Elephas maximus indicus: one gene and its partners. The protein of the gene in region 2 binds, or shares a complex with, the protein of the main gene of each other region. Links are inferred from orthologs where the notes say so. Each region holds a gene or a part of one and is shown on either strand. Other genes may lie near its edges.

Region 1 (7,134 bases), on a different chromosome or scaffold from region 2:
GCCTTCCTATATTTCTCAACTTCCAGCGCTTCCTATTTTCTTACTTAAAAAAACATACTTAGTCCTCTTTAATTCAGATTTGCCAACTTCCTTGCTGTCTCCCATACAAAAATCACCGCCTGAGCCTCGGTCCATTCCTTCCACCTAGAATCCCTCAGGCTTCGCTATCAATTCAAGTTACTGCCTCCTTTAACACCAGTCTTCAAAAGCACCTTCCACAGGATGTCTTCCCTCTCCAACCCATCAGCCTCACCCCTCAACTCTTTGTCCCTCAGAACAAAGGATGGGACTTATCTTTTATCATCTTGCAGTCATCACGCTATTGTTTTCATCTTCTTTCTCAGAAGCTCTTGAGTCTAAGGACCACAATGTCTTACGTATCTCTCTTTTGAACAGAAGTTCCTTAGAACGCTAGCACTCAGAAAATGCTTAACTCCTCTTTCTTCTAAAATGTCCTTAGAGTCAAAGTTATCAAAAACACATAATTAGCATTAAACTCCTAATTTTTAAATGTTTAGTTGACCTATACAATAACAGAAAATCACACACTTTACATACTTTATAAAAGCTACTCCATCCTCAGTCAACATCACAATACCAAGAATTAGGAAAGCAAAGAAAATCCTGGAAACGAAACGAAAAGCCCAAAAGCTTAGCATTATAGGATATTTTATTTTGCTCTCTGAAATAAATCTAATGAGTTAATTACCTAAAATTGATCTCAAGTGGTTTTTAAACTATGTTACCAAGATGTAAAACGTACAAACACTCCAGTACCACAAGAGGCTCTTAGGCAGCTATTATAAGATTTGCTTCATCATAGCTGAAAATTACGCCAGAATTTTTAAATATTCCTTTCAAATGACCCCATGAAATGCCTAGAAAGCTTGACCCTTCCCTGAAAGATGCATCAGCTTCCCTCTTCTCTACTAGTCACTGCATTCTCTATTAGCTAGTCACTAGGGGGGAAAAAAATTAACTTTCAAAAAAAATCTCCCATTCAGCTATTACCTTGGCCTACCCTGTTTCAGGCAAGTTCCAAAAGCCAACATGATTTGAAATTTTGAATTCAATTAAAAGCGATCATTTTATGTTGCTTAAGGATATAGTCAATTTCACAAGCCAGCATGTACTTTTAATATCTCACTTCTTCAGTTCTCTCAGTTCCTCTAAGCAACAAGATGGTTTGCCTTTGCCCTCAGCGTATCCCTTTTGTTCAGGAATAAAGAAAACCACCTACACATGCTTATCAAATTCTGTAAGTGTATTTAAATAAGTTGTCATTAGACACCATTATCAAAGATACAATAAACATCTCCACAAACTCTGATACATTGGAACAATGTTATATTCCTTAAAGCAACGACTTCAAGAACCTCAACTTTTCTGCACAAACCAGGCACGAGAGTACATACAGCCTGGCGACAACTCTGAACACAGCCCAAATAGTCCTCTTACATCCAGGACCACAGCATTCTGCAAAAGTTATGACGGAAGGGCTAAATCGATAGTCTTATAACTAAGTCCGTATTATCTAAATGTGAGGAAACCACTGAAAGAGTATCTTAAATAGCCCTAAAAAGGGACCCCCTGGAACAAGTAACAAATGCAATTCAATTTTGGGAACGCGAACTTAGATAGCAATGCGTCAGTGACAGTTATTTGGCAATTCGGTTTACTACAAACCTCAGTCGAAACTGGGACCTACTTCCAAGTTGCCTTCTGATGAAACATAAATTATACAGTGGCGAACTGCGAATGTGTCAAAACGGAAAAATTAACGATAGCACATTCAACCACTTAAACAACTGAAGACAATGCGAGCAGGGGTGCTCCCATCTGTGGGCTCCCCGGGCCCCTTCCAGAGGAGGAACCAAGGCTGCCTCCAAACGTGACCGCTGGTCACTGAGTAAGTTCAGCCCGCAGGGCGGAGAACAAATACTCTGTATAGTCGCACAGGCAAGAAAAAAAAGGTTAGGAGATTGGGACTTTTAGTGTCTCCATTAAGTATGCAAAACTATGATGACCCCTGAGAGCTGCGCTAACTAAAATGCGCCAAAAGACATCCACTCTGCAAATGTGCATAATGGTTTACGAATCAAGTCCTGTCCTTCTCTTTATTCAAAAGGATGAACAAGTAAACACTTTCCATCACTGTTTTAACGAGCAAACACTCAAGCACTTGGTGAAGCGGACTAACAACAGCCAAGAAAAGTATAAGCAGTGTTTCAAATCGAATGATCCAAGTAAAAAATCCCATTCTGTCATTCAAGGTTAATAAGACCGGGGGAGGGGTTTGGGAGGAGAAAAGAGGGAGCTGCCTCATCCTAGACTGAAGACAGGTTCTATCCTTTTCCATTACCAGGTTGCCTCTTACCAAGTCTAGTCCCTTAAAATCCTATTTCAAGGTTTCTTATTTTAAGGGCGACGTGGAGAAAGGGTTGTAAATTAAAATCAATACTCACTGCTAACTTTCATGCTGCCAAAAGCCGAAGGCTGCTGCACTGGCTTGCAGCTCTCCGCAAAGGAGGTGGTTCTGGGCCGCCCTGACATGATCACTCTCTTCCCGAATCACCTTTTCCTTCCTTCCTCTTGTCTTCCTATTGTTTTATGTTGGGGTGTTAGGTTAATGATAAATGCAGCATTAAGTTCTCCCCGGGAAAAAGAAAAAGACTTCGTCCTCTTGGCTTTGCACTCCTTTTATATTATCAAAAAAAAAAAAAAGATGGATTTCTCCTTCAAGACAGATCGGTATAGATATTTAACATATAGATGATTTGGGTGAAAAAAATACAATTCTTCTCCCTCCCTTTCAGGGAGGAGGCGGGGAGGAAAAAAGAAAGCTCCTAAAAAATACCTATCACGTGCAGCAGGGCAAATACTTGATTGAAAATAAGTCCTGTGAAGATTGTCTTTTCCTCGGGGATTTTTTTTCCGAGTCAATGAAGAAGGGAAGCGGCGGAAGGATCACGAGTCTCCCGCCGGCCGCGGGGGGAGGGGAGCAGGGGGAGGGGGTGGCTCGGCGAGGCCACGGGAAGCGCTGCGGCCCCGGCGGCCTGGAGACGGGCCCGGCGGCGGCGGCGGCGGCGGCGGCGGCGGCCGAGGGCGAGGTGCTCAGACGCGGGCGGCGGCGGCGGCGCTGGCGGCTCCCCTCCTCATTGCGCCAGGAGCAGCTGCAGGCGGCGGCTGGATCCAGCGGCCATGGCGGCGGCGGCGGCGGAGGCAGCTCCCTTCAGACCCCAGGCAGCGGCTCCTCGGCTGCTCCCCATACGCGGGGGACATGGGAACGCGGCCGCCGCTTCCGTCCCTCGGGGCCCCCTCCCCGTCCGCGGCCCCAGCGCGGCCGCCCTCCCGGCCCTCGCCTCGGCTCGGCGTCCGCTCAGGAAGCGTCCGCGCTGCGGCCCCAGCCCGGAGCACTGTCAGCGGCTGCGGGCCGGCTCCTCCTCGCTTCCTTCCTTCCTTCCTTCCTTTGTCACTCGGCCCGGGCTGCGGCGGCGGCACAAGCCCGCATTCGCCCGGCTCGGGGGCTGCTCTGTGTGAGGCGAGCCGTCTGCGCAGTCGCCTAGCTCCTCGCCGCACCCCCTCCCCCCTGCTGCTCGTCCTCCGCCTCCTTCCTCCCCCACCCAGCCTTACACCGCCCAGCGCCCCGCCGCCCGCGTAACAGGCGTCTGGGAATCGCCGGCCGAGCCCCGCGCCCGCCCCCTTCGGCTGGGGAGCCGAAGCCCGAGCGGGGCCAATCACGGGCGTCGTTTGTTTGCGGCTCCTCCCGGAAAAAGCCGATCGACCTGAAGAGCCAATTGGAGAGTGCCGCCGGAAATCCACGCCCGAGGAGCGGAAAATGCCGAGGATAACCGAACGGGAGCAAGGGGGATTCGCCTTGTTTTGTGGCTGGCTGAAGGAGAAATTCGACGGCGGCAACAGTAGCCAATCAGAGCCGCCGTCTCTCTGGAAAAAGCATGAAGAGTTAAGGTCGGTGAAACCCAGAGTTCCAGGTGAAACTGTACTGCTGAGAGCCGCGGCCGCTTTGTAATTGGCTGAAAAACTCTGCTGGGCGTGTCCCTCACTCGGTGATTGGAGGAGGAAAGGGGGCATCCGAGGAGAGTCTAACCAATCAGAACTGCTCTTCCCTAGCCGAGGGGGGGAGAAGAAGAAAGCTAAGGGAGGACGTTTATAAAGCGCCTTCTTATTGGCTTGAAGCTTTAGAGCGGAGGGAATGGGAGGGAGGCCGAAACTCGTTGCGATAGCCAATCGGCACTGACGGCTCTCCTATCGCAAGACCTAGCTGCAGTGTGATTGGCCTACAACCTACGGCGGCGGCCCCAGGCGCTAGGAGCTCGTCTGGGGTCGTGGCGGGCGGTGTCGCCTACTCGCTGGCGGCTGCTCCCAACCCGTAGGAAAGCCGCAGACAGGGAGCGCGGGCTTTCCGCGCACCCGCTTCGCGCAGCCTGTCCCAAACCCGTGGTCGGCGGAGCTGGGCTCTGCTAGTGCTTAAGCCAGCGAAGGGTCGGGGGCTCTCCGCACTCCCTGGAGGCTCTCGGCGGGGTGCGGCTAAGTCTCTGCGCCCGAGCCATCCTTCAGCCTGAGATCGCGCGTCCCGAGGACCTGCGTCTTCCCCAGGAGGCCCCAAGGGACCCCTCCGGCCGGCTGCGATTTCTCAGACACGAAAGTGGGGACAAAGCTTCCAGAAAAGCAGCGCCCCCGGGCAGCCGCGCCCCGCCCGGCCGCGGGGACCATTGACAGCGCGAGGCTGACTACGCCTCATGCGCACGGCCCAGCTGGGCCTTCTGGAAACGCCCCTAAGAAATGAGCTCATTCTGGATGCGCGCACTCCTTGGGCGCCACTGCCCGGTGCAGAAGGGGCCAAAAGCAGGTGAGGGGAGATGCCGTCAGGCCGGATATCCTGAGATCTCTAAGGAAGCGGAGTCAGCATAGCCCTGAGTGCCTTTGGGTCCTCCGGAACCAGGGTCGTCTATAAAAGCACTATTTGAGTAGATTTCACACATTGTCCAGCCTTCATTGCTCTACTGGAGAGCCAGGTTTTTTTTTTGTTTTTTTTGTTTTTGTCAGAGGACAGTGAGGTGTGGCTACATCAGGATAGCAGGGAAAGTAGAGTAGACAGTTGCCATGCTGATTATGATTCCCTGGGACCTGTAATTTCCACCTACAGGCTCACTACTTTCAAGATGCTGTCTCCAGAAAGCACATGTAAAAGTACTCATTTGATCAGACTGCCTAGCAGTTGGCTTGGAAAGTCTGATGAAGGACTTGGGATAGAACAAAGTAAGCTTTGATGGGAGACAGGAAAAGTCTAGACAAGTAAAGCAAATGAGTGAAACTGGCCTGGTGTAAGACAATGGCGAATGATAGAGAATATGGCAACTTGGAGTATCCCTGCCGGAACTAAAATGAGCAGCTGCTCCTCAGCCCTAGCAGATTGTTGCCCTCAGGAATGTGGGTTCAGTGCAGGGCTTCCAACCAGTTAGTTCAGGTTCGAACCCCTGCTGAGAATTTGCATTTCTATCCCAGATAAACTGAATTAGAATCTACATTTTAATAAAACCCCCTGGTGATTCTTAATGTATAATAAATTTTAAGAACCACTGCTCTGCTAAGTGGTTCTCAGAATTGGTCCCTAACCAGCAGCATCAGCATCGCCTGGGAACTTGTTAGAAATGCAAATTATCAGCAGAGGTTTCAACCAGAAAAGGTTCAAAGACCTGGTTCAGTGTTTTTGAGATAGTCAGTGTTGTTTTTGTTTTCCCAAGATTAAACTAAGAGCTGGATTTTTGTGTAAAACCTCTGGATTTTTAAATGTTGACAACCAATACTTAAAACATTGCAGGGCAAACTAAAAACATCCTGGGGTAGACGTGGCAAACAGGCAATCAATTTGCAGTATTTAACCAGAGCATAGATTTTGTAGCCCCAGAGCAGTAGAGGCCCTAGTTCTTTGCAATTAAGAGAGAACATGAGATCAGTGGATGTCATGGGGGAGGGTAAAGAACATTAAAAGCCAACTCAGTGCATGGCAAGCTTGTCAGCTGATTGGTGGCTCTCCATGCTATTAGGAAAAGCCTTTGTCACTGCTCCTGAAAATGCTGTGAGGCAACACTTTAAATCCTGCCTTCCTCTTATACCAGCAAGAAAGTGAATAGGAAATGTTTAGGTTACACAAATTGGAAACACGGGTATTATTTTGTAATACAAAAATGACCTAACTTGAGGTTATATTTAGCTTTACTGTTGCTGCCTTCAAATATTTTGAACTGATGCTGTTAAAACAAAAATCTGAACGAGAGGGAAATTTTATAGGAAAAAAAGTATGTATGTCAGTCTAAGAATTAGAGCTGGAGAGAGAAGTTTATGAGGAAATACAGAACTACGCAAACATTTAGTGATTGCTTCCCTGAACTGTTCAAATCCAATGTTACCTTCCCACCTACTGTCAACTACTAACCAGTTTATAATAGTAATAGTAAACAGTTAATATTTATTGAGCGTTTACAACGTGCTAGGCATTGTTCTTAAGTGCTTCACACATACTGTCTCATTTAAACTTCATAACAATCCTACCCTGCTTTTCAGAAAGCTTTACTAACTTGCTTCAGGTCCACAAAGCTGAAGTAGCAGAGCTAGGATTCATATCCCCTGTTCTTAGGCCCTGCTCCGTACTTTTCTCTCTCACAGAGTCCCCACATTCCTCCATATGTCTTGCTTTATCACCTTATGCCTTCTTACTGTGGCATCTGATGTGAACACAGCCCTCAGTATAGTGTCAGTTTGGTTTGCTCCTGGGCTCATGAGATGGTCTCACGTAGAGATCAGTAAGTAATTCTAAGCCGAATTCTGTGTGGTTACTGAGAGTGTCCACAAAATGATATTTATAAGTTAAACTGTACAATGAACTGCCTCCATGTATTCTGTAGTAATAAAAACATTTAGATGGCACTTTGCAGCTTAGGAAACACTTTAACAGGCATTGTATCGTTTGGTCCTCACAGCAAGCCAGTAGAGTATGAAGGGAAGCTATTCTGTTTTTACAAATGAGGAAATTAAGCACTATACAGATTGAGTGACTTGCTCAAAATCAGCTGCATTTTAAATTGAAACCAGGAGAAACTGAAAACCTCAAAA
Region 2 (7,393 bases):
TTGCTGAGCCCCCACCTTGGCTATCCTCCACCTGGCCTCCAGCTGGCACTGCTTTTCTCTTGGTTTTGTGCCTGACCCTGGATTCCTGGAGTCCAGCAGAAATGTGGTTTGTGTTGGGTGTGCTGGCTGGGCTGTCCATGCAGGGGAAATGGGTTGGAGTGACTGAGAGGCTTGGCTTCCCCCAGAAATGAGTGCTGCCTGGCAGGCAGACCTGGCCAGGTGTGACCCATGAGGGTGCAGGTGTGGGACCTTTGGGCTCCTGTCCTGGACTCAATCACAGTGACCACAGTGGCATCGTTGCTGGCAATGGCCATGTGTGTTGCTCCCAGCCCTTCCTTAGTGGCCTCCTTGTAAAAGGGGGTAAGGTGAGGTGAGATACTCTCTGAATGCGGCTGGTGCCAGGTCATGGGAACAGAAACCACCTCAGCTGCAGGGTAACGTCAGGCGGCGGGTCACACACAAAACTGTCACCGGCCAGCAGGGGCTGGAGTGGGGATTTGTGAGATTTTGGGGACTAGGATCCCCGGGGAGTTGTCTGCCTGAAGTGCTATAGGCTCTGGGGTTGGCAGGAGAATGGGATCAGCCTTGACAGTGATCCAAACACCAGCCAGGAGGACTGACCTGCCCATCAGGCATGAAGGGCAAGACAAGCTGAGCACAGGAGAAAAAGGAGCAGGAGCAGGTATTGGTGCAGTTCAGGGCCAACGTGGGCTTGGCAACCACAGCAGATGCATCTCTCAGGAAGGTCACCTGCCACTCCTGCAGGCACTTTCTCCCTGGTCACAGGCCCGGAGCCCACAGCCCAGCCCAACGCCCCACTCGTCCTGCCCTGCAGGGTCCCACCTTTGCCGCACCTCCCTGTATGGTTAATTGACACCATCAACCATTGACAGAAAGATGTCACTCCTTGCGTTTCCATCTGATCAATGCTCCGGGGTGGCCTTTTTTTTTTTTTTTTCATCTTTTGGCCTTTATATATACATTTTCTATTTTCACAGAAACAGGGAGACTGTGTGTGTGGTTTAAAAAAAAATCATTTATTGAGATAAAATATGTATATTATAAAATTTACCATTTTAACCATATTTAAAGTGTACAATTCAGTGGCATTAGTTACATTCACAGTGTTGTGCAACCATCGCCTCTATTTGCAGACATTCTCATTACCCCAAAAGGAAGCCCTGTACTCATTAGCAGGCACTCCCCATTCCCCCTCCCCCTAGCCCCTGGCAACCACTAACCTGCTTTCTGTTTCTATGGGTTTGCCTATTTTGGATGTTTCATATAAATGGAGTCATGTAATACGTGGCCTTTGTGATTGGCTTTTGTTTAACCTCATGTTTTCCAGGTTCATCCACATCGTAGCATGTGTCAGGGTCCATTTCTTTTTATAGCTGCATAATATTCCATACTTTGTCTATGCATTCATCTGTTGGTGGACAGTTGGGCTGTTTGTGCGCAGTTTTGTAGGTTTTCTCCTTGATGTTATATATCATGAGCACTTATCTGCAGTGGGTAGGGGCATAACAGATGACACTCCTCCCTCCCCCTCTGCTGAGCTTAGAATTGATGGAAAAAAAGAGGCTCAGGGACAGAGAGATGGAGTCCAGAGGCTTGTGGCCAGGGCTGTGCCGCCAATGGGAAGCCAATTCCCCACTCTGTTAACTGGATGGCCCAGGCTTCTGTCTTCCTTCAGGGCACCCCCTGTGGCACACACACACCTGTGACTCCAGCATATGCGGGGGTGGAGAGACCAGAGGGGCCTATGGAGAACCCACTCCCCTCCGTGGAAACCAAGGGGCACGGGCAGTACGGTTCCCTTAGACCGGCCATTGACTGTGGCCATCCGTCTATGCAGCTGCCCTTCTCCTGGATGCTGGGCCGCACCCAGTTCCAAGGATTGTCCATCTTGCATGACGGACTCCACACCAATCTTGGTTGCCCCAATGCCTCCCCCAGGTCACTTTTCTAAGTGTTCATCCACAGTTGATGGGGCGGACACCCTCAGGGCTTCGAGGTGTCCTTTATTTCAGAGTACCCCTTTTCCACCCAAGTTAGAAAACAGGTCATTTCTGCTCCTACATTTTTCATTTAGTCCTTGGTGAGCCTGAACAAGGCCATCTGTAGTTGATCAAATCTCCGTTAAAGCCTCTGGTGTCAAACTGCTCTCAGTGAAGGGGTGTTTATCTTTGAAAGGACCTTTGTTCTGAATGGAGAGCACTCTGTCCCCACACCTCTGGCCTGTTCTCAGCTCAGGGTGGCTGGCCCAGGGCCCCTGCCCAGGTCACCCTGCTTAGTCGAGAACACCTTCCTCTGCCTCTCTCTCCACAGCCTTCCTCACCATCTCTCTGGTCTGGCCCCTGGTGGGGGCATCTTCTGAGCTCACCCCCTCTGGCCAATGCTAGGTAGTCTGCTCTCCCCACCCTCATGACCATCATCCTCTTAGCAGGGGCCGCTGCCTCCCCCAAGGCTTTCTGACCCCCTTCTTGTCCCTGCAGGCTGGAGGCCCCCAGGAGTGGGAGGCCCAAGGGCCCTGTTCTGGTCCCAGGGCCTGGGGAAACCCTCTGCCTTGGGCCAGGAGGAAGATGGGCATGGACACAGCCCCCAGAGCCTGGCCTGGCCATTGTGGCAGCTCTGCAGATCGAAGGCAAGCTCTGGGGCCCTTGTCTGGGAGTGGACAGGGCCAGTGTCTGGGATGGCCTGCTGTCTGTCCAGCCCACCCAGGGCTGCCTCCCACCATGAGACTCTGCTACAGCATGAAAGCAGCCACTCTGTCTCCTCCAAGGTTCTGAGGCTGCACCAGGCAGGGGATGGTGCACAAGGGTCTCCTGTGCCCAGCACTCTGAGCCTGTGTCTGTCCAGTGTTGGCTCAGCAGTACAGCCCCTGCCCTTACTGCCCTGAGGCATGACGATGGCCCCAGAAGGTGGCCTGGGCCCTTGATGGGCTGGGAACCCTTCCTTAGTGCCCCTCCTTCCATACCACTCACCCCAGGCAAGCATCACAGGGGGCAACTGGGCAGGAGGTTGACTAGGGGCTCCAGGGGCTCCATGCCAGGACTTCTGCCCTTGCCGGAAGCCGTGAAGAATAAGGGGGGTGGACAGCTGAGGTTGAGCAGTGTCCAGAAGACGAGGTGACTGAACAGGCGGTCTGGGCCGCCTGGGTGAGCGGCATGGGTGAAAGCATGGGGGTGGGCAAATAACCAGACACATTGAGGAGTGGGTGGTGTGGGGGAGATGCCACTGGGTGAGCCCTAGGGGGCTTTAGAGCAGGGGCAGCCCAGATGACAGCTGTTGGGGAAGTTTGGGTGTTGAGGAGTCCTGGTCCAGGTGGTGACAGGTCCCTAAATGGCCCAGGCTGTAAAATGGGGGTACAGCTTCCCCTGGGGGTTGCTGGGAGCATCCAGAGAGGTGCTAGGCCTGATACCGGCTCTGAGAAGGGGTGGGGCACGGCCGTGATTCCTGGGGATCAGAGACTCCTGGTGGCCACATCCTTCTCTTGGAGAGGTGCTGACAGTGGACTGCGGCCTGGGCAAGGGGCTGGACGTCACTAGGAAGTTCAGCCCCCAGCCACCGGGCCTGCCGGCTAACTTGGGACCCCTACTTCCCCAGTGGGTGGGTAGGCTGAGGGGGGGTCTCCAGGGCCAGCAGGGCCTGAGGCTGCCAGTCCCACTGGTCACCCCGCCCACCCGGGCACGAGGTGGTGAAGCGCGAAGGGCGGTGGAAAGAGCGGCTGGGCATGGGCCGGGCCTGTGGGCGCCGACCTGAGGAATCCTAGGCACGTCGATCACCGGGGCTGCCTTCAGTCGTGTTGGCCGCAGAAAATCGTGGGCGATGCGGGGTACGCCCACATTCCCCTAGATCCAGAGCTCCCTCTCCAGGACCTGCCCCTCGCCGAGACTCCACCCCCCGCCCAAGGAGCAGTCCTGCGCTGTGGCTTTACCTTGCGCTCTCGGCCCCGCCTCCCCGTTTGAGGCCACACCCCCACGTTGTGGCACTACCCCCACGCTCTCGGGCCTATCCCCGCCCTCTGGCTCCGTCGCGCTCTCTTGGCCCCGCCCCCTCACTTCCGGGAGGCGCAGGCGGGGGTTCTCGGTCTTGGGCTTCGGCGCTTTGGGCTCGGGCTCCCAGCTCGGGGACGCGATCGCGGCTGCCACCACATCAGGAGCCGCCGGGGTCGGGCCAGAGTCGGGCCGCAGCCGCGTCCGCCGGGAGCGGACCGGTGAGAGCGGCGGCCGGACCTCGGCGGCACCCTAGCGCCGCGCCCTCCCCGTGCTGGCCGCGTCCGGGCCCCGCGTCCCGCGCTCCGCGCGGCCGCCGCCGCCGCCGCCGCCGCGGCCGCCGCCGCCGCCGCGATGGGGGCCGTTCCGGGCCGCGCCCCCGCCGGGTCCCGCCTGCCGCGCCGCAGCTGAGCGCATGGGCCGCGCCGCTCCGCGCCGGGAGCCGGGCCGGGGCCCCGCCGCCGCGGGCGGTGAGTAGGGCGGGCGGGCCGGGCCCATTGTAGGCCGCACTAGGCCGGCGGGCGTGCGAGGTGCGGGCCGCGGCGCGGGACCCGGAAGAGGGCTCCGAGGCGTGCAGGCCGGGGTGCGGAGGGGACGTGCAGGGGTGCGAGGGCTGAGCCGGGGACGTTTGGGCTCCGAGGGGATGCACGGGGTTCGAGGGCGTGCGGAGAAGCCTTGGGGGTTGAGAGGTATCCTGGGAAGATGTTGGGGTCCAGCCTGCCAGGCAGGGGATGGGAAGGCAAGGCCCTTGCCACAGAGACGTGTTAAGGGGGATGAGTGGGCTTGGTTCAGAAAGAGCAGGCCCTTGGTCTAGGTGTGTGGAAGAGAGTGAGGAAGACCCAGGATTCTGAGAGAGGGAGTGCTCTCAGGAGAAGGGTCGAGGTCTCAGCAGCTGGGTGTGTTTGCATGATGCAGGGTGGGTGCTGTTGTCCGTTGGCCTGGGGCAGGTTTCAGGGTGCAGGTGGGGTCAGAGTGGCTGCTGGGGCCAGAGGTCAGTGCAGGAGTTCTGGAGAGCGCAGCTGTGGAGTGCTGTTCTCCTTATCCCCCAGCAAAAGTAGGAGTAAGGGCGTCCAAAGCCTTGGCAGGCCCTCCCTTTCTGTGGCAGAGGTGCTGGGGCTCAGCTTGTCTGAGTACCCGCTTTTCCTGGCCTCCACACCCCCTGTTATCTTGCCTAAAACCGGGTCTCTCTTGTGGGTCTTCGTTTCTATCCCCACCCCACAATTTGGAATTCGACCCCCCCCCCCACGCACCCATGAAACCAGGGCTGCACAGCTGTGGCAGCAGAACTTTTTAACTCCTCAGGAGGTCAGTAGGGATGATAACATCAGTCCTCTGGGATTTTCCTGAGCCCATCCCTAAGTTAATTTATAAAGGGTCCTCATTGTGCACAGCGGCCCCTCCCTCTTGGCTCATCTGTATTCTTTGCATCTTTAGGCAGATCTCATGTTTACTTGGATCCACAGGCCGTGGTCTGGAGAAGCACATACGTCTACACCTGACCAACCAGAGATAGTCAGCAGTAGCTCAATTTCAATTTAAAGAAATTCTGTTCGGTACAAGGGTGGGAAAGCATGTAAATCATGGTGCTTCTGCTTGATTTTCAGCTGGTTCTGACCTTTCAGAAAGGCTGATCGTTAGAAATTCAGGTGTTGGGGGATGGATTGTATGTAAAGCAGTAGCCCTGACCATTCAAGAGTTTAATTAATGGACTATTGGGAAAATGTCAGAGTTATACTGTTACATCTGCTCTCCATCTAAATAAAAAGTTCGGAAGATAACGTTTGAGTAAAATCTATCATCTCATCTCTCTACCTACCTACCTACCTAGGCACAGGTGTAGTGGTTCGGTTACTTGAGGTGGAGGGTGCTGCCATGGTCCAGGGGTGTGCCCAAGCCAGGACCAGAAGAAATGTAAACAGTGTCAGGCTTATAGATCGCTTTTTACGGATTCACTTTATTGATGGTGGTTCCAGGCTGTGGGCCAGAGTTAGTGTTTGTGGCTACTTGGCGCAGACCTGAATTAATACAGCTGTTCTGTGTGTGGTGTGTATGTGTGCACACTGAATAGTACACCTGTGTCTTAGTTGGAGCCCAGGACTGAGACCACGAGAGCAGGTTTATGCTGTCAGTAGTTTGTCAGGGTGTCTCCGTGCTTCAGGGACACCAAAGATCTCCGTCAGTGGACGGCCAAAAATAGATGAGAATGTTGGGAAAAGTTTCTTTTAGCCTGTGAAACTAGTTTAGCATGATTAAGGTGGATTTGGTTCTCAGATGAATTGAAATGTCATTCTTGAAAGACACCTGCAACTTTGTGATGAAAGGTTAGATCTAACAGCCCCTTAAGAGCAGGGACAGTAACAGATGCGTAATTAAGTTCCCACTTAGAGTATTGTTTGGTAAGTGATTTTTTCATGTGTCTAGTGACCTGGTTCCTCCTCATGGTGTGTGCACTGCAAGGGTCCCAGGGGCGTGTCATGTTGGCATGTGCAGAGATACAGACACAGGAGGGATTGCTTGTGGCTGACAGGGCTGAGGGACAGCGACTTTTGTGGCAAAGTGGCCATGAGCGGCGGGACACCACAGCCAAGGGGCCTTGACCTTAACCAGCAGGCATTCCTGCTGAGGCCACTGTTGCAGCCTGCCCAGCAGTTTTCATGAAAAGTCACTCGCTGCAGAAATGTTTTCCAGTGTGTCTCGGGTCTGGCCCCAGGTGGAAGCAGGGCCCGGCAGCATGGGCCTTAGGCTTCAGAAGGCTGCCCTCTAGACTAGTCCTCGGGTTTCACTTTGCACACCCTGGCCTCTTTAGCACTCCGGAAAACCTGTGATCTCCAGCATTTGTATAGCTGGGACCTCTTAACCTGGTGGCTGATGCAGGGAGAGAGAGGGTGAGGTTAGCAGGAATGGTTGTGGGCTCCTTGAGGGTGTGGTGGGGGGCCCTGAGGACCAGGCAGAGAGTCAGTCTGTCTGAGCCTTGTGTCCAGGACGATCTGATCCTCATATCCATGCTGGCTTGGGCGACACCAGCAGCAAAACCCTTGAATCTATGACCTCTATGAGGGGAGGGGTGTTTCCTTCAGTTTACGGAATTCAGTCACATGAGCTCTGTGCTTCCTTGGCTAAAACGTGTGACTGGATTTGGATTTGATTTTTTCTTGTGCCTTCTTGGTTTCTTAAAGTACCTGACGGCCACCTGCTGTCAGATGCTTTCTCACACTGACGGTCAGGATGCCCTGTGCTTTTGCAGGTATCCTCCAGTCACTCAGCCCGTGACGTTGGAGGTGACCCCCAAGTCACGGCTTTTTTGTGTGAGTTGAGAGAGGAACACCTTACTGTGGGTTACACACTGCACGTTGTGCTGAGTGTGAAGGGGTGGTGGACAGAAAACATACCCGCTG
Region 3 (7,890 bases), on a different chromosome or scaffold from region 2:
AAACCAAACCCATTCCCACTGAGTCAATTCTGACCCAAAGAGACCCTGTGGGGCAGAGTGGAACTGCCCCACAAGGTTTCCAAGGCTGTAACCTTTACAGAAGCAGGCTGCCACATCTTTCTCCCGCAAAGCAGCTGGTGGATTTGAATGGCCAATCTTTCAGCAAGCAACCAAGTGCTTAACCACTGTGCCACCAAGGCTCCGTCATGGTTACCGCAGCAGCTGAAAATATCTTTCTAACCTAAGGAGCCTTGCTGGTAGATCCCCCAGCCTCCATCTCTGCTCTTCGTACACCTTCTTCCCAAAATGGCTTTGGTCCTCACCTACATCTCCTTCACTCATGCTTTCCTTCAGTTTTCTCTAGCTCACTTCCAGAGATCTAGCCAAACATGCTGTCTTTGCCTAGATGAAAATGCCCGTTAAACCAAAGACTAGTTACCTCCTCATTAGGCTGAAAGCCTCAAGGAGGAGGGAACCCATCTTCTGATTCTCCTGTGCTTCACCTAACACAAAACTCTGCCCTAAGCAATCTACTCAAGACGGAAAGGTCATCCTGACAAATCCCGAAGTCCAGCCTGGTGAGTTAGTTCTCCCTTGGGTTCCTTAAGGCGAATTAGGCTTAACCTTCTTCTCAACCCCCACATCAAATCATTAATGTCTATTCCGTTCAACACCATGTTCTGACCACACAGCACTGTACACAACATTTATTACGTACTAGCAGATATTTGGCTAAATGAATATATGAACCATGAGACTGTCTACTTTGGTTCCTCTTGGTTCCTCCTCTCTCAGGCACATGCCCTCGCACCAAAATTAGAGTATCCTGTCTTCACCTAATATGGTTTTGTGAGCCTGAATATATGCCAACTCAAGCCATTTGCTATCAGAATGTGACCTGGTCCATGTCAAAACAGCTCGGTCACTACCAATCTGTCTCAGAATAATGTCGCTTCCTTCCCAACTTAACCCAGTCTCAACATAACCGAGCCTACTCCAAAATGAGTTATTCCATAACCTAGTTTACGGACTAGTCAGCCTCAGTTCTAATAATAACTACCACTCGGTGAATATCCTGGGCTGTACACCTTTGCTAAACGTTTTACTCCATCTCACAGGTGAGGAAATCAAGGCACAAAAGTTCAATAAATTGCCCAAAATTACACTGCTGACAAACTGAAGAACCTTGATTGAAACTCAGGATAACTCCCAAGACAGGACCACTCTCCCAAAGCTAACCACTCACTCTAGGTAGCACCCAGGCTATCCCAGCCTAATCCAACCTGCCTTCGGAAAAGCTGAGGCTGAGAAAGTAGATGGCTCAGTCCCAAAAGCTCTACACACAAAAGGATTTACTTCGCATTATTTATAGTCCCAATCTAGCCCAGAATAATCCAAAATGTTCCAAATCACTCCAGGTTAGCTCTAGCACAGCCTAGAACATGCCCACACATAGCTGTCTGCAGCAATATAGACTAGAAATTCTCAATAAAGCTCCCTGTATTAGTACAGACCCCCAACAACCCTGTCTGCTCCAGTACTCTGACCCAGTAAAACCACGTCTGCCCCAATAGAAACTAGAACAACCAATACAACCACGTCTGCCCCACTAGAAATGGGAATGGTCTAAGTGTCTCCAGGAAACCCTGGTGGCGTAGTGGTTAAGTGCTACGGCTGTGAACCAAAAGGTTGGCAGTTCAAATCCACCAGGTGCTCCTTGGAAACTCTATGGGGCAGTTCTAATCTGTCCTTTAGGGTCGCCATGAGTCAGAATCGACTAGACGGCACTGGGTTTGGTTTTTGTTTTAAGTGTCTCCAGAATAGCCTACTCCACTTCAGGACAGCCTAAAAGATCCCAGTACAGTACTGTCTGTATCACTATACACAAAAACATCCAATATCTGGACAACATCATGCTTTACAACGCAGAGAGTCAGCGAAAAAGAAGATCCTCGATGAGACAGACAGACACAGTGGCTGCCAACACCTGGCTCAAACATACTACTGTGAGGATAGCACAGAGCCCACTAACAACTCGTTCTGTTATACACGATGTCATTATGAGTCAGAACCAACTTGACAGCACCTAATCACAACAGAATGTCCAAAACAACCCTGTGTGCCCTAATACACACCAGAATCCCCAAAATTGCCCCAAGGCCGGCCAATCTACATCAGGAGATAAAAGAATATCCCTAAATAGCCTGGGTGCTACAGAACTGCTCAGAATATACTGAACTACCAGAGGACAGACCCACTTGGCTCAGTACAGTCCAGAATACCCCCAAATAAACCAGTTCGCCCTAATATATTTCAGTACAGTCTAATCTTCTGTAATCTAGTTTAGGATAGCCCAGTCTGTCCTACAGCTCCGTGTGCCTCAACCTTGTCAAGCACAATCTCGTTGGTCCCGGGATAGTCAATCTACCCCCAGCTTAGTACAATCGACTCCACTATCGACCAGAAAAATCCCAATATGCCCCAGAATAGACCTGGGCCCTTCAATATCGCCTAATCCACTCCAGCACAGCCCCCATCAGTCTAGGCCTCGCGCTCACCCGAAATCCTGATCCATGGACTTGAAAAAGTACTTGGCTCCCGCGGGCCGCTGCAGGACGCTCTTGAAATCGCCGAGGGTGATGCGCTCAGCGGGGACGGGGATCTTCACTAGATAGGGAGTCTCTTCCTCATCCAAGTGGTAAATCACCTTCGTCTCCCCGACACCACCGCCCCCCGCGCCGCTGCCCGCCATGGTCTCGCCCGCGCGCTCCTGTGCTCCGCCGCCCACCCAAAGGGGCTAAGCACCCCCGCCGCGCCTGCGCACAGCCGCACACTGACGCGCGGGCAGGCACAGAACCGGACCAGTCCCCCAGACGTGCCCAAGGGATGGAGACGGTCGGGGTCAGACAAGCGGACAGCCGGGGCGGGGGCGGGCCGTGGGGGCGCGACCTAAAGACGCGGACTCCGCCGCCGCCGCGCGCCACTGCCGCCGACGTCGCGGGCGCCCCCCAGTGCCCCGCCCACCTCTGCTCACGTCACGTGGCCTAACTCGGCCCGCCACGCTCCCCCCGCACCGTCCCTGGATCACGTGACACTTCCCAGTCACGTGACTGCGTAGCTCCGCCTCGCGCCCCTGCCACGTGATCGCTGCCCTCAGCAACGGTCTCCCAACCCTCAACTGCCCCGCCCCCGAAAGTGTCCCCACCCTCGTCCTCTGAGCACCCTGGCTGAATTGGGCCTCTGCCCTCAGGCAGCAGGCTGCCAGTCCCACCACACCTGGGAGCGCGAGGCAACTCTGATCCACTGGAGTGTGCGTGTGGGGGTCCTAAGCAGGGAGTGGGATGGGGCAATGCCAACTGAGGCCTGAGCATCCTGGGTGGGAAAGGCCCAGGAGCAGGGGCGGTTCTAGCTGGGACTCTGAGGCGTTCTCCCATCTTTCCCAAAACCTCCCTCCGATGCAGGACAGTAAGGGCTATGAACACAAAAGAGCCCACTCCGCTTTATTTACAACACACGGGCCATCTGTACAAACAGCTAGCCGATATTATTAAAAACAAGAGATGAAAGAAATGTCACCTTTCTGCTTTCCTTCCCCTCTCGGCCAGACTTTGGTACTCCACCTTTGAGCTGCCATGCCCAAAAGGGGAAGTCCAAAATTAAAAATACAACCGGTGTATAAGAAAATAAATGAGGAGTGAGATAGGAGAAAAAACGATGAGGGAAGGGGGTGCTAATATTTACACTAGAGTTTTATAGACAGCTGCCCCATTCCTTCCCAATTCCAACCCTGACCCAAAAAGTGAAGGATGGCAGGTCCAATGGGCAGGGATTGTGTGTCTAGGGACCCAGACAACCTCTCGCCCTCAACTGCAGTGGGTCCACGTTCAAGTCCAGATGTTGGAGGGGGAGGAGGAAGGGGAGGATGGGAACATGAGACCCTCATTTCCAGAGCAAGTCTCCCTTGGGAGTTCCTGCCTTGAAGTGGGACAATGTCCAAGCTTCAGGGGATGGGCTGAGGACCCCAAGGCTCAGTTCCCAAGTCATGTTGTCAATTAGAAGTTCCAGCCTGGCACTGGTGATGTCAAGGCTCTCCAGATTTCGGAGGGCCCCCTAACCGCCGCGCCTCTGGCCGAAGTTCCTTGCATTTTTGGCAGTAAAAGAAGTCAGGGACATTGGTCTTCTTAATCTTAGCACAGGAGAGGTGGATCCACGTCCCACACAGGCTGCACTCAATCATGGGCCGTCCTGCAAAGGGCTTTCGGCAGTAACACGTGATCAGATCCCACGAGTCATCACCTGGGGAAAAGGAAGTTTGATATTCTGCTTGAGTTTTTAAGTCCACAACACCCCCAACTCCATTCTCCCAGCTACCCTTGAACAGCTCTCAACCCCCTTACCTGATTCTACCATGATGTCCTCATCCATGACCCGCATCTCGCCTTCACTAGAGCTGGCATCTCCATCTTGGCTTGTTTCAGTGCTGCCCACCTCCTTGCTTTCACTGTCAGTGGGAGGAGCTCCTTCAGGGGGCCCTGTAGCAGGGGGCCTAGGAGCCTCAGGGGGTGTTGGGAACACAGGGGCTGGGGCTTCAGCCCCTACCACTGCTGCCATTTCCTCTTCCTCTTCTTCTTCCTCTTCCTCCTCCTCCTCTTCAGAGTCTGTATCACTGGGGGGTGCCCGGGGAGGCCCAGGAGGTGGGAGTCTATCCCCTCGCTCTGCCTTTTTCAACTTCCGTTTCTTGCTCTTCTTGATTCGAGACCTCTTTTCCCCATCGCCAGGGGTTGGCCGAGGTCTCCGAAGAACCCCAAAGCCAGCCCCACCTCCTGGCCCCAACTTTCGGTTCTTTCGGTCCTTCTTTCGAGGAGGCTGGGTGAGATCCCCCTGAGAAAGGGGCACTGGGGTGAGAGGAACAGGGGGCCGGGATGCATGTGTCAGGGATGTGGGGGACAGGGGAGATGCCACTTTGGGGCCATCTAGATCAAAGAGAGAGTCCTTGAGCTTCATCTTCTCAAGCAGGGTGGCACTGTCAGGGGCCTGAAGGCGAGAGAAAGTGGACCTTGGAGGTCCTGGCTGGGTGGAACCCGACTGGGCTGCCCTTCTCTTTGATGACTTTGCTTTCTTAACAAAGGTCTGGATGGTTCGGAGATCTGAGGGGGCTGAGTCCCAGCCATCACTGTCTGCTGCACTCTCACCTCGCAATGGGGAGCTGGAGCCGGAGGCTGGCCAGTCACTTTCCTTAACAGGGAAAAGAGACCAGAGTCAGCAGGGGGCCCAGTGGCGTTTAAGCCCCTCCAGAAACCCAACCTGAAAACCAGGGACTAGATCTCCCCCAAAATATCCTGCCCCAACCAACAAAGCTCACTCAGAAAATTTATCCAGACCCCAATTTCTATCAGCATCTGTTCTTGAGCACTTCCATGTTACCTCTGTTTTCAAATTCTAACTATCTGCTCCTTACCAGGGCCTTTGAAATACTGTATTCCCACAAATCAGAGGCACATTTCTTAATCTACTTTTGTACTGCCTCCTTTGTTACCATTTTCACCTCCCTAAAACTCATCCGGAAACACCTTCCATTAACAGTACCCCCAAAACCATTTCAAAATCTTGACTAACAACCCAAGAGCCCCTTCCATCACTGTTACCCAAGCCACCTATCTCTATTATCCTCCCCCGCAAATACTCGTTTTCCCAACAGAACCCTCACGTTTCCAATTTCTCTAGTCTTACATATATAACTAACACAACCTCATTTACTCAACAGCCCTTCCAAGAATCCAAAGACACCATCCTCAAACCAGTTATTCTCCTGACCCTACCTCTTTGCTAGGAGGTATGTAACCAGCATAGGCCAAAACAAAACTGCAAAATTTGTTGAAATCTTCAATTGTTCTCCGCCGTTTCTCTGGTGGCTGAAAAGAAGAAAACAAGGATCACACTGAGGGCACAGACTGGAGTTTTAAGAGAAGCATCCCCAAAGGCGGAATCCCTAAAGTGGGAAAGCTAGAAGAGATGCATGGGGGGTGGGGGAGAGCATAAATACTGATGTGTAAAGGTAGGGGAAAACTCACCTGAGTCTCTGGCTTAAGGGTCGGAGGTGGATCTGTGAAAGCAATAAAAGCTGAGTCAAAGCCCTGGAACAGTCCATTTAAAATCCCCACCTCTAAACCTTAGAGGTCCCAAGTGAACCCCCTGTTCTCCCAGGTCCCCCAGCCAGTCGGCAGGCCCCCAGCTGTGCCCGATCGTCCCTGCTCCCCTCCCGTCCCACAAGGGGCGGAGCCTGGGCCCGGGGCCCTCCCAAGCCTCGTTATAGCGCTCCTCTTCCCCCTACCGGAGGCCGGGAGCCCCGCCTCCCCCCCCCAAACTCACGGTTTCTGTAGACTCCAGTCTACTCGGATCTCTTAACGCCCCACCCCACCGTACAGCTCCTAGGGCAGAACCCGGGCGCCGCCCGCCCCGTCCTTCACAAGGCGACCGTGCCGAGTTCCTACTCAGGCGCACTCTACTGCCCCGAGCCCTCTGGAACCTCACGCCATCCGCCGGCCCCCCGAGTCCGGGATGACCACGCTGAACCGCTCCCCGCCCTCCGGCCCCTTCTACTCGAGCACGAGGCCCGGCGCGCCCCTCACCCTCCACCCCAAACCCACACGCACGCACATTCAACGCTACTTTGTGTCCGGGACGGACCAGCGAGCTCTAACCCGGACGCGGCCCCACCTGCCCCCCCCATACCGCGCTCCCCACAATTTCGCCCTCCCTCCGCCCCCATCCGGGGCTTTGGCCCCTCCCCGTCTCGAGCTTCTTGGGTTCCCCGCCGGGCCCCCGGGCCCTGTTCCGAGCTCTCTCCGGCCGCCTTCCCTCCGCCCCCGTACTCACCAAGTCACTAGGCTACGGACCCCTAAACTCTAGCTTCCCCCCACAATCAGCGACTCTCTTCCTCCACAGAAACCACCACGACCGCCCCCCATCACCCTCCGCAACTCCCAGGCTCTAACCCTCGCCAGTTCCCCCTCCCGCGACTCGCCGGTCTTCACCCCCCTCCGATCCCACCGCCCTCTGCAACTACCTAGCTCTCCTCGCTTCCCGGCCCTCTCTCCACAACTACCCCCGTTACAGGTCCCCTTTCCGCAGACAATACCAGGCCCCCCTTTCCCCCCACAACTACCTGCCCAACCCTCCAGCAATCACCCGGCTGTCTCTGGCGGCAACTACCGGGAGCTCGGGAACCACCACCACCAACTCCCCCACCTCGGCGAACTACCGCGCCCCTCGCTCAGCCCTCTTCCACGTCCTCCCTGCCCAACAACTCTCGGCTCCCAGATTCCCCCAACCTTCCAGCTCCAAGGCCCCAACCTGCCTGCGGCCCTTTCGGCTCCTAACCCCCGAGGCTCCGGGTTTTCAGTTCCCACCCCCCACCTCCCCCCCACACACAGCGTCGGATCTCCAACTATCCCCAATCCGGTCTCCCACTCCTCTTCCTCCAGCATCTCTCAACTCGTCGCTCTTCACCCCCAGGGCCAGGACCCCGACCCCCACCCCGCGCTCCCCCGCTGGGTTCTGGGGCTCGACCTCCAAGTTTGCCAATTGATTCCTGGCCCGCCCCCCACCAGCTCAGCGATCTGTGCCGGTCGAGAGCTCACCTTCGGGACTGGGCTCCGCCATGGCTTCCAGCATCGCCCCCTCCCCTCCTCCCGGTCCGGCGCCCCCCTCCCCTGAGCCGGGGATCCCGGTGCCGCCTCCGGTGCTCGGTGCTCCTAATGACTTGCTCCACGGAGGTGTCTGCCTCAGTCCGGTTGTGACTCGTGTCCGCTAGCCGTTGCCGCTGCCGCCGCCTCCCTCAACCACAGCCTCCCGCACTCCCGGACCGGGCCCCCTCCCCCCGCGCCGCCG

The links. The genes of interacting proteins can lie anywhere in the genome.
Region 1: the proteins of AXIN1 (region 2) and GSK3B are in contact, whole or in part, in a crystal structure (PDB 4B7T), measured with the Homo sapiens proteins. The link is inferred for Elephas maximus indicus from reciprocal best matches to the Homo sapiens genes AXIN1 and GSK3B. Residues at the interface, in NP_003493.1 of Homo sapiens: Glu384, Pro385, Gln386, Phe388, Ala389, Glu391, Leu392, Ile393, Arg395, Leu396, Glu397, Val399, Gln400; in NP_001139628.1 of Homo sapiens: Ile228, Phe229, Val263, Asp264, Leu266, Val267, Ile270, Lys271, Asn287, Tyr288, Phe291, Lys292, Phe293, Pro294, Gln295, Ile296.
Region 3: the proteins of AXIN1 (region 2) and DVL2 are in contact, whole or in part, in a crystal structure (PDB 6JCK), measured with the Homo sapiens proteins. The link is inferred for Elephas maximus indicus from reciprocal best matches to the Homo sapiens genes AXIN1 and DVL2. Residues at the interface, in NP_003493.1 of Homo sapiens: Arg821, Tyr823, Lys825, Lys826, Glu830, Phe831, Val835, Val836, Phe837, Glu838, Glu839, Lys857, Glu859, Asp862; in NP_004413.1 of Homo sapiens: Lys15, Ile17, Tyr18, Glu23, Glu24, Thr25, Pro26, Tyr27, Leu28, Val29, Val46, Leu47, Gln48, Arg49, Pro50, Phe81, Arg84.

What each region holds. Positions count from the first base shown.
Region 1 is NC_064819.1:10,595,776-10,602,909, forward strand, and holds the start of GSK3B (glycogen synthase kinase-3 beta), read right to left. Parts: upstream 3,010-7,134; 5' UTR 2,554-3,009; coding exon 2,466-2,553; intron 1-2,465. UniProt on the Homo sapiens protein: Constitutively active protein kinase that acts as a negative regulator in the hormonal control of glucose homeostasis, Wnt signaling and regulation of transcription factors and microtubules, by phosphorylating and inactivating glycogen synthase (GYS1 or GYS2), EIF2B, CTNNB1/beta-catenin, APC, AXIN1, DPYSL2/CRMP2, JUN, NFATC1/NFATC, MAPT/TAU and MACF1.
Region 2 is NC_064830.1:57,641,654-57,649,046, reverse strand, and holds the start of AXIN1 (axin-1), read left to right. Parts: upstream 1-4,384; 5' UTR 4,385-4,468; intron 4,469-4,560; exon of another isoform or gene 4,561-4,581; intron 4,582-7,393. UniProt on the Homo sapiens protein: Component of the beta-catenin destruction complex required for regulating CTNNB1 levels through phosphorylation and ubiquitination, and modulating Wnt-signaling.
Region 3 is NC_064837.1:13,618,431-13,626,320, reverse strand, and holds the start of DVL2 (segment polarity protein dishevelled homolog DVL-2), read right to left. Parts: upstream 3,010-7,890; 5' UTR 2,753-3,009; coding exon 2,559-2,752; intron 1-2,558. Other genes in the region: PHF23 (PHD finger protein 23), read right to left, coding at 4,082-4,296, 4,398-5,235, 5,820-5,912, 6,072-6,103, 7,641-7,674.